Linked DNA regions of Callithrix jacchus. The protein of the gene in region 1 interacts with the protein of each later gene in a biochemical or structural test. Links are inferred from orthologs where the notes say so. Each region holds a gene or a part of one and is shown in the gene's direction. Other genes may lie near its edges.

Evidence for each region.
Region 2: the proteins of PPFIA1 (region 1) and GIT1 form a complex in vitro, tested with the Homo sapiens proteins (2 studies listed by BioGRID). The link is inferred for Callithrix jacchus from reciprocal best matches to the Homo sapiens genes PPFIA1 and GIT1.

Annotation. Positions count from the first base shown.
Region 1 is NC_133511.1:127,324,162-127,327,967, forward strand, and holds part of PPFIA1 (liprin-alpha-1), read left to right. Parts: intron 1-1,437; exon of another isoform or gene 1,438-1,572; intron 1,573-1,648; exon of another isoform or gene 1,649-1,717; coding exon 1,718-1,883; exon of another isoform or gene 1,884-3,806. UniProt on the Homo sapiens protein: May regulate the disassembly of focal adhesions. May localize receptor-like tyrosine phosphatases type 2A at specific sites on the plasma membrane, possibly regulating their interaction with the extracellular environment and their association with substrates.
Region 2 is NC_133506.1:104,019,810-104,024,256, forward strand, and holds the start of GIT1 (ARF GTPase-activating protein GIT1), read left to right. Parts: upstream 1-1,479; 5' UTR 1,480-1,741; coding exon 1,742-1,793; intron 1,794-4,447. Other genes in the region: ANKRD13B (ankyrin repeat domain-containing protein 13B), read right to left, coding at 768-905. UniProt on the Homo sapiens protein: GTPase-activating protein for ADP ribosylation factor family members, including ARF1.

The DNA of each region.
Region 1 (3,806 bases):
CCTGCCTGTAGAAAAATAAATAAAAATGAAAAATAAACTTTTTAAGATAAATCAGAATGTATCATGTAGCAAGACACTGATTCCTGCAACATAAGAAGTAGAACATGATGCTGGGTAGAAGGATCATCCCCACGGCCCAGCACCCACCTCACTCAGCCATGATGCTGGGTAGAAGGATCATCCCACGGCCCAGCACCCACCTCACTCAGCCATGATGCTGGGTAGAAGGAGCGTCCCCACGGCCCAGCACCCACCTCACTCAGCCACGATGCTGGGTAGAAGGATCGTCCCCACGGCCCAGCACCCACCTCACTCAGCCACGATGCTGGGTAGAAGGATCGTCCCCACGGCCCAGCACCCACCTCACTCAGCCACGATGCTGGGTAGAAGGATCGTCCCCACGGCCCAGCACCCACCTCACTCAGCCATGATGCTGGGTAGCAGGATCGTCCCCACGGCCCAGCACCCACCTCACTCAGCCATGATGCTGGGTAGCAGGATCGTCCCCACGGCCCAGCACCCACCTCACTCAGCCATGATGCTGGGTAGCAGGATCGTCCCCACGGCCCAGCACCCACCTCACTCAGCCACGATGCTGGGTAGAAGGATCGTCCCCACGGCCCAGCACCCACCTCACTCAGCCACGATGCTGGGTAGAAGGATCGTCCCCACGTCCCAGCACCCACCTCACTCAGCCACGATGCTGGGTAGAAGGATCATCCCACGGCCCAGCACCCACCTCACTCAGCCACGATGCTGGGTAGAAGGAGCGTCCCCACGGCCCAGCACCCACCTCACTCAGCCACGATGCTGGGTAGAAGGATCGTCCCCACGGCCCAGCACCCACCTCACTCAGCCACGATGCTGGGTAGAAGGATCGTCCCCACGGCCCAGCACCCACCTCACTCAGCCACGATGCTGGGTAGAAGGATCGTCCCCACGGCCCAGCACCCACCTCACTCAGCCACGATGCTGGGTAGAAGGATCGTCCCCACGGCCCAGCACCCACCTCACTCAGCCACGATGCTGGGTAGAAGGATCGTCCCCACGGCCCAGCACCCACCTCACTCAGCCATGATGCTGGGTAGCAGGATCGTCCCCACGGCCCAGCACCCACCTCACTCAGCCATGATGCTGGGTAGAAGGATCGTCCCCACGGCCCAGCACCCACCTCACTCAGCCATGATGCTGGGTAGAAGGATCGTCCCCACGGCCCAGCACCCACCTCACTCAGCCATGATGCTGGGTAGCAGGATCGTCCCCACGGCCCAGCACCCACCTCACTCAGCCATGATGCTGGGTAGCAGGATCATCCCCACGGCCCAGCACCCACCTCACTCAGCCATGATGCTGGGTAGCAGGATCGTCCCCACGGCCCAGCACCCACCTCACTCAGCCATGATGCTGGGTAGAAGGATCGTCCCCACGGCCCAGCACCCACCTCACTCAGCCATGATGCTGGGTAGAAGGATCGTCCCCACGGCCCAGCACCCACCTCAGTCAGCTAGCTGAGACACAGCCCGACCATCACCATGCCCCATTTCTTGCTGAAGTTCCGGTTTGAGCAATACACTGTGGTCATAAAGAAGGGATTCCGTACATGTGAACAAGAAAACATTCTTGAGTTCAGCAGTCATTATAAAGCACATTTAACTTTCCATCTCTGACCTTTATTATTTTTTAAATGAACCTGGCTGTTTATTCTTTCATTTACCAGGATGATGATAAAAGCTTTAGGAGAGCACCTTCATGGAGAAAAAAGTTTAGACCAAAGGACATTCGTGGCTTAGCTGCTGGGTCAGCAGAGACGCTCCCTGCAAACTTCCGGGTGACTTCCTCCATGTCCTCGCCCTCTATGCAGCCAAAGAAGATGCAGATGGACGGTATGTGGTGGGTCGCGCTAACTGGCAGCTTGCGGGGAGCATGAGCAGCTTTCTGTCTGGAGCATTAATCATGGTCTGAAACCGCCTCTTTAATACGTTACAAGGCACTTGAGTATGGTTGCATGTCCAAAATAAATGTTTTTAAATTAGCTCTAACATTTGTTTACAGAAGTTTAACCATAATAAGAGAATTTTAAAAAACATTTTGTCTGGTTGAATCTTAGCATATTTTTCCAACTAATGAAGCTCAGTGCTCGTCCGTGTTCTCAGGAAGCCTGAGGCGTCCTTGTAGCCACGTGTGCGCGCCAGGCCGTGCTGGAAGCTCTTTCAGGAAACAGTGGAGTAGTAGCTTCCCGACCACAGAATTTAGTGCTCCGCGCACCAGAGAAAATAACCCAGTACATTTTAAATAACACTTTCCAGCTCATGTAAGCTCTGCCTGCCTTTCTCCCCTCCCTGCTGCTGCTGTTTGTGCAGTCACGTCTACCTCCCAGAAGTCCCCAGTGGAGTGAGGCCGCCACCGAATATACCAGCCAGAGAGAGCATATCACTGCCATGATGTCAGGCGCTGTGTGGGGTCTTCCCTTTGACAACCACTTTGATTCGAGGTTAACAGTTGACCATGGCTTCCTGACAGGTCTCTCGGCTCTAATCCTGCACTCATCTAATGAAAGGCAGTGCACAGGTTGGAGAGCCAGGCTGCCTAGGTTTGACTCCAGCTCTGCTGCTAGGAGGTACATGACCTTGAGCAAGTCATTTAACTGCACTGTGCCTCGGTTTCCCCATCTGTCAAATGGCCATCGTAGTAGTACCTTCCCCATAGAGTATCTGTGACGATTAAATGTGTCATTCATAAAGCTGGTGAAGTTCTAAGCCTGTGTCAGTGGCGGCTGCTCGGCAGCCCCTGTGCTCCAGGCCGCTGTCACTCATTCTCCGTTCTGAGGGCAGCAAGCAGACTGGAGGAAACGAAGTGGCATTAAAAACTGCTAATCTTTGAGGCCAGGAATTCCAGACCAGGCTGGCCAACATGGCAAAAGGCCGTCTCTACAAAAATTAGCCAGGCGTGGTGGCACGTGCCTGTAATCCCAGCTACTCGGGAGGCTAAGGCACAAGAATCATTTGGACCAGGGAAGTGGAGGTTGCAGTGAGCCAAGATTGTGCCACCACATTCTAGCCTCGGCAACAGAGTGAGACTCTGTCTCAAAAAAACAAAAAAAATGTTTAAAGTGCTAATTAGGCATGATGGCTTATGTCAGTAATCCTAGCACTTTGGGAGGCTGAGGCAGGAGGATCACTTGAGCTCAAGTTTGAGACTAGCCTGGGCAACACAGTGAGACCCCATCTCTACAAAATAATAATAATAACTGAAAACTGTGCTAATGAGGGTTTTGCAAAATTGTTTGTCATTACCCCTCCTATAAGTAGGTTCCTAAGTTTTATTCTCTGTCACCTGCATAGAAATCAGGAGTACATTTTTATAAAACCTTAGTTAAACCGGACATTTTGGGTGTGAATGGCTTACTTTGTGGCATTGTTAGTAAAACGCTATATTATTTACCTATTGTTTGCCAGAGATTTATAATATACTTATGGAAGAAAATCCAGTATATCTTTTTAACTAGGGACTTTTAAAAAATTACTGTTTTTCTTCCAAGAATCATGCATATAATTCTTAGAAAGTGTAACTATAGCTTGGCCTTCAACTCAGGCTCTGTCACCTGAAGAGTCCACATGAGTGTGTTCATGTTTTCCTTGTGGCTTCGATTTCAGTTTTCCTTCTGATAAGTCACATTCCCCTTGTCAAATGTTAACAGGAATATTAAGAATGAGAGTTTGGATGAATGAATAGTAAACCCAGGCCGGGCATGGTGGCTCACACCTGTAATCCCATCACTTTGGGAGGCCAAGGTGGGTGGATCACCT
Region 2 (4,447 bases), on another chromosome or scaffold:
CCCGTACCCACTTCCCGCTGGGGCCACCAAGACCATAGTCTCCTTGATGAGGGAGCAGCTCGGGGCGGCACGCGGTGCTCCCCACTACATACCCGTTAGGTATCGTTGCTTGCAAAAGCCCCACCGGCTGAGTGGCTGGCTGTTGGGGTAGGGGAGGCCTGCAAGGTTTTTTTTAAGGTGCAATTATAAATAAAGCCCATAGATCGCGATTTCAAACAAACTTGTCAATCTGGGCCGCAGCAAAAGGCGATGGAGGCAGCTTTGCATGTATTTCGGGTGGTGTGACTCATGAGCATTACTTGTCTCCCCTAGGGAAGGAGCCTGCCCACCCACAAGTCACTGCTGCTCTGGCACCGCTGGGATAAATCTACCAACTTGAGCACCCCTGCCCAAGGACTGCCCCCATCTTCTTACCGAGCAGGAGACTCTGACTTTTGGAGAACTCTTCCTCAATCGTCACCACTGATCTGGCCCCCAGGTCTGGCCCTGGGGTCCCCTGCCCTCTCCCCACAAGCAGAGGAGTGCCCCGCCTTTTGCTGCTGCAGGGATTGGGGGTTGGGTGCACGCGCGGCACACGTGTACGTGGGAGCATGCTCAGTGCGGGGGCTGCACCCACGTGCGGCCTGCACCTAGGCTCCCTGCCCCCCTGGCCACCCACGTTCCTCACCTGCCTCGCCTTTGCCTGTCTCTTCGTGTGAATCCAGAAGAAAAGCCGTCACCTGAAATGGCCCCTCTATGTTATATGAACCCTTTCTGGACACACATACCTCTGGTGGCCCAGAAACACCGTGGGTGTGTATAGGCCGGATGACAAGTGGATATGAGTGCACACAGGCACAGTGGTCACTCCTCGGGAGGTCTTTAAAACCGTCCAGATTCTCTCCTCTCTGGATGGAAGCATGCATGGAGAGATAGATGTATTTTTAGTCCGAAGACAGGAATACACTGCCTGACCTTTCCGGCACCTGGGCGTCCATATTGTGTGGGCGTTTTCAGCAAGAGTGTGACACCACACACACACCTGGACACACAGATGTGGACACTACAGGACCGGGACGCACACTTCACCCCAACCAGAGATAGACGGGTACTCAAGGCACAGCCCCTTTGACGTGGAGCGGGACTTGGGCCTCCAAGTCCTTCCTCTCTTCCCTAATCCCCGCCCTCGCTGTCCCTGGGCCCAGCGTCGCCCGGGCCACCCGACACCGAAAGTGAAGGGGAGGGGGCTGTGAGGGTGACTCACACTGCCTCCGGGCCAGGAGAGCGCTGCAGCAGAGGCCGAGGCCTCAGGCCACGCTGCCCGCCGGCACCCGGCGGCGGCCGCGGCCCCTTTAAGCGTCCCCGCCCCCCTCCCTCCCGCGCCCGGGCTTCCTTTCTCCGGGGGGCGCGGCCGGCAGCGCGCGGCGGGGCGGGGGTGCGGCCCCTCCCCCGGTGGGCAGGGCCTGCGCCGCTTCCTGCAGGAGCGGCCGGGAGCCGCGCAGGGGGCGGAGAGAGGAGCGGCAAGCGGCGGCGGGGCGGCGCGGGGCGGCGCGGGGCGGAGGACGCCCGAGGGCGAGCGGGCAGGCGGGCACGGCGGGTTCCGGGCCAGCCCCGGGGCGGACGGTTGGCCGGGCGCGCGGAGCCTCGCCGGGGCCACGCCGGAGCCGGGCCGGGCAGCAGGGACCGCCGCCGCCGCCGCCCGGGCCCGCCGCCCGCGCCCCCCACGCTGGCCCAGAGGGCTGCGGCCGCGTCGCCGCTGAGGATGTCCCGGAAGGGGCCGCGAACGGAGGTGTGTGCGGACTGCAGCGCCCCGGGTAAGCGCGGCCGGGCCGGGGGCGGGACCGCACAGCCAGGCCGCCGCCGCCGGGCGGGCGCCGGGGCCAGGCGGGAGCGCCGTGCGGGGCCCGAGGGCGGGGCCGGGCGGGGGGCCTCGGCCTCCAGGCTCGGCCCCCGCCCGGGCCACTGCGGAGCCGCGTCCTAGGCTGGAGAGCCGGCCTGGGGAGGCCCCTGCTCCCTGGCGGCCGTGGACTAGCGAGGAAGGACGTTCCCGGCGCCGCCTCCCACCCCTCGGTCTGAGGGAGGCGGGCAGCTGGCTGCTCCTCCACCTCCATCTCTATATCCAACGGAAGCGCCAGCCTGGGGTGGCAGGAGGGCCGTGGCGGAGGCCGGCAGGGTTTGGGAGGAGGGGGCGAGTGTGGTTTTGTGTCATCTCAGTGCCACCCCCGCGTCTTGCACCTGCTGCTCTCGTGGTCGGCACGCCCGCCGGGGTGGTGGAGGGCAAGGAGCAGAGGGCCGGGCATATGCGCCAGTGGAGCCTGGATACCGTCTCCTCAGGAGCAGATGAGCGGTGGCTACTCCCAGGACTCCCTGCCTCGGGTTCCTAACGCTGGGGCTCCTTGTGGGGCCTGGTGTTCAGGGCCAGTCCAGACCCGGGTGTTTTCCCTGGCGGCATCCCCAGGCCTGCTGGTGACTGGGAACAGCTCGGCTGGACCCTGCTTTTGCTGTTCCCCAGTAAGGCCTGCTTGAGAACGCGAGCTTGGCATTGAGCTATCCTGGGCTCGGCTCCTCCCTGTCCGCTAGCCCAGTCTGGCCAGAAATGGATGGGAGGCAGTGGCAAAAAAGTGCCTAGATTCCCCCATCCTGCTGGCTTCCTGGCCTGCCTCCTGGATGTATTTACATAGTGGTTCCCTTCTCTTTCGTAGCAGAGTTAGGACTGGGCTGGAGTGAAACCCCCCTGGCCTGCTGAGGAAGTTAGGAGTAATGATCCTAGAGGCTGCTCCCTTCTGATGGGGGAGGACAGCCAGTGATGGGGCTCTGCAGCTGGCCTGGGAGGGAAGCTCTAGCCCCATCCATTCTTTCTTTAGAAAAGGAGCTGTCTCCCTGGAGCAGGGAGCAGGTTCCAGAGGTCTGTGGACTCTAGGGAGAGTGGGCATGATTAAGAGTGAGAGTATGGTGTGCTGTTTTGTGGACCCATAACTTTCAGCCACCCCTTGAGCAGGCCCAGGACCCCACAGGTTGAGCCTCACAGATGCTCTGGTGGTTCTGGGGGTGCCAAGCTAGAGTATTTGGGAACTGGGAACCTGGCAGGGCTTGGGGACGAGATACTCGATGGGCATTATGACTGGAGGAGCTATCTGGGAGTGGGGGTCCATACCCCTAAGAAACTGTGACTCCCTTTCCCCAGATGCAGACAGGTCTGGGGATGGCAGGGCTGAGGACACCTTGCCTTATAAATGTCTGTCCCATTGTTCCGCACCTCCATGGTGTGGGCATGGAATGATGGGAGGAGAGGCTTAGCAGATACCCTATCAGAGGAGCCTGGGCTTTAGTGTAGTGTACCTTTGTTCCCAGCTTACTCTGTAACCCCAGCAAGACTTTCATCACTGTGGGGGCCTCAGTTTCCTCAATTCTGAGGCAAAGAAGTTGGAGTAGAAATTGTTTTTGAGGGGCTGCCATCTCTGAACCTGTGGTCTGATTCTGGGGCAGTGAGGTGTAGGGCAACACCAGCAAGGCAGTTACCCCTTTTTTTTTTCCTTTTTTTGAGACAGAGTTTCACTTTTGTTACCCAGTCTGGAGTGCAATGGCGTGATCTCTGCTCACTGCAACCTCCGCCTCCTAGGTTCAAGCGATTCTCCTGCCTCAGCCTCCTGAGTGGCTGGGATTATAGGCATGTGCCACCACGCCCAGCTAATTTTGTATTCTTAGTAGAGACAGGGTTTCTCCATGTTGGTCAGGCTGGTCTCAAACTCCCAACCTCAGGTGATCCACCTGCCTCAGCCTCCCAAAGTGCTGGGATTACAGGCCTGAGCCACCGAGCCCAGTTGGGAGTTGTCCTTGCTACATTGCGTTGAGTAGTTGGCCAAAGCCTCTGGATACCCAGTGAGCTCAGGGAGGAATGGTGAGCGTGTAGTATGTTGGATTGCCCAGCTCCTACCCCCAGGTCCTCATCCGTCAGAGGCATTTGTGCCCCAGATATCTCCTTTCCCCTGATCCCCAATAGAGGTCAGGAAGGTAGTGAGAAGGTGAGGATGGTAGTGGGGGAAGGATGTGGACAAAGTCTTACTCATTATCCCACCTCCCACCCAGCAAGGTGTCTGGCATGTGGCAGGCATTCCGAGTGTTTGGCTGCTTGTCAGGACCCTGGCTGGCTGTTTGGGACTGTCCCACACCTGGACAATTAGGATGCTGGCCCTGGTGAGCAGTGGCACATTTGGTCTGGGTCCTGTAGCATCTCAGGCAGAGAGGCATGAGGGTACCCGGTAGTCTGGAGGCCAGATCCACTGCCAGCCCCCGTGGTGTATGACTCCACCCCAGGGTCACAGGCTTCTCTTATTGCAGGAGCCCTGCAGTTCCAGCCACTTGAGTAGGCTCAGGGGCTTTTGTGCTTGGTTAATTTGGGAGGTCATGGAGGTCAGAGGTGAGATGCAGCCTGTCCCCAGAGAGCCCCTTGCTCCCTCTGCTTCCAGGC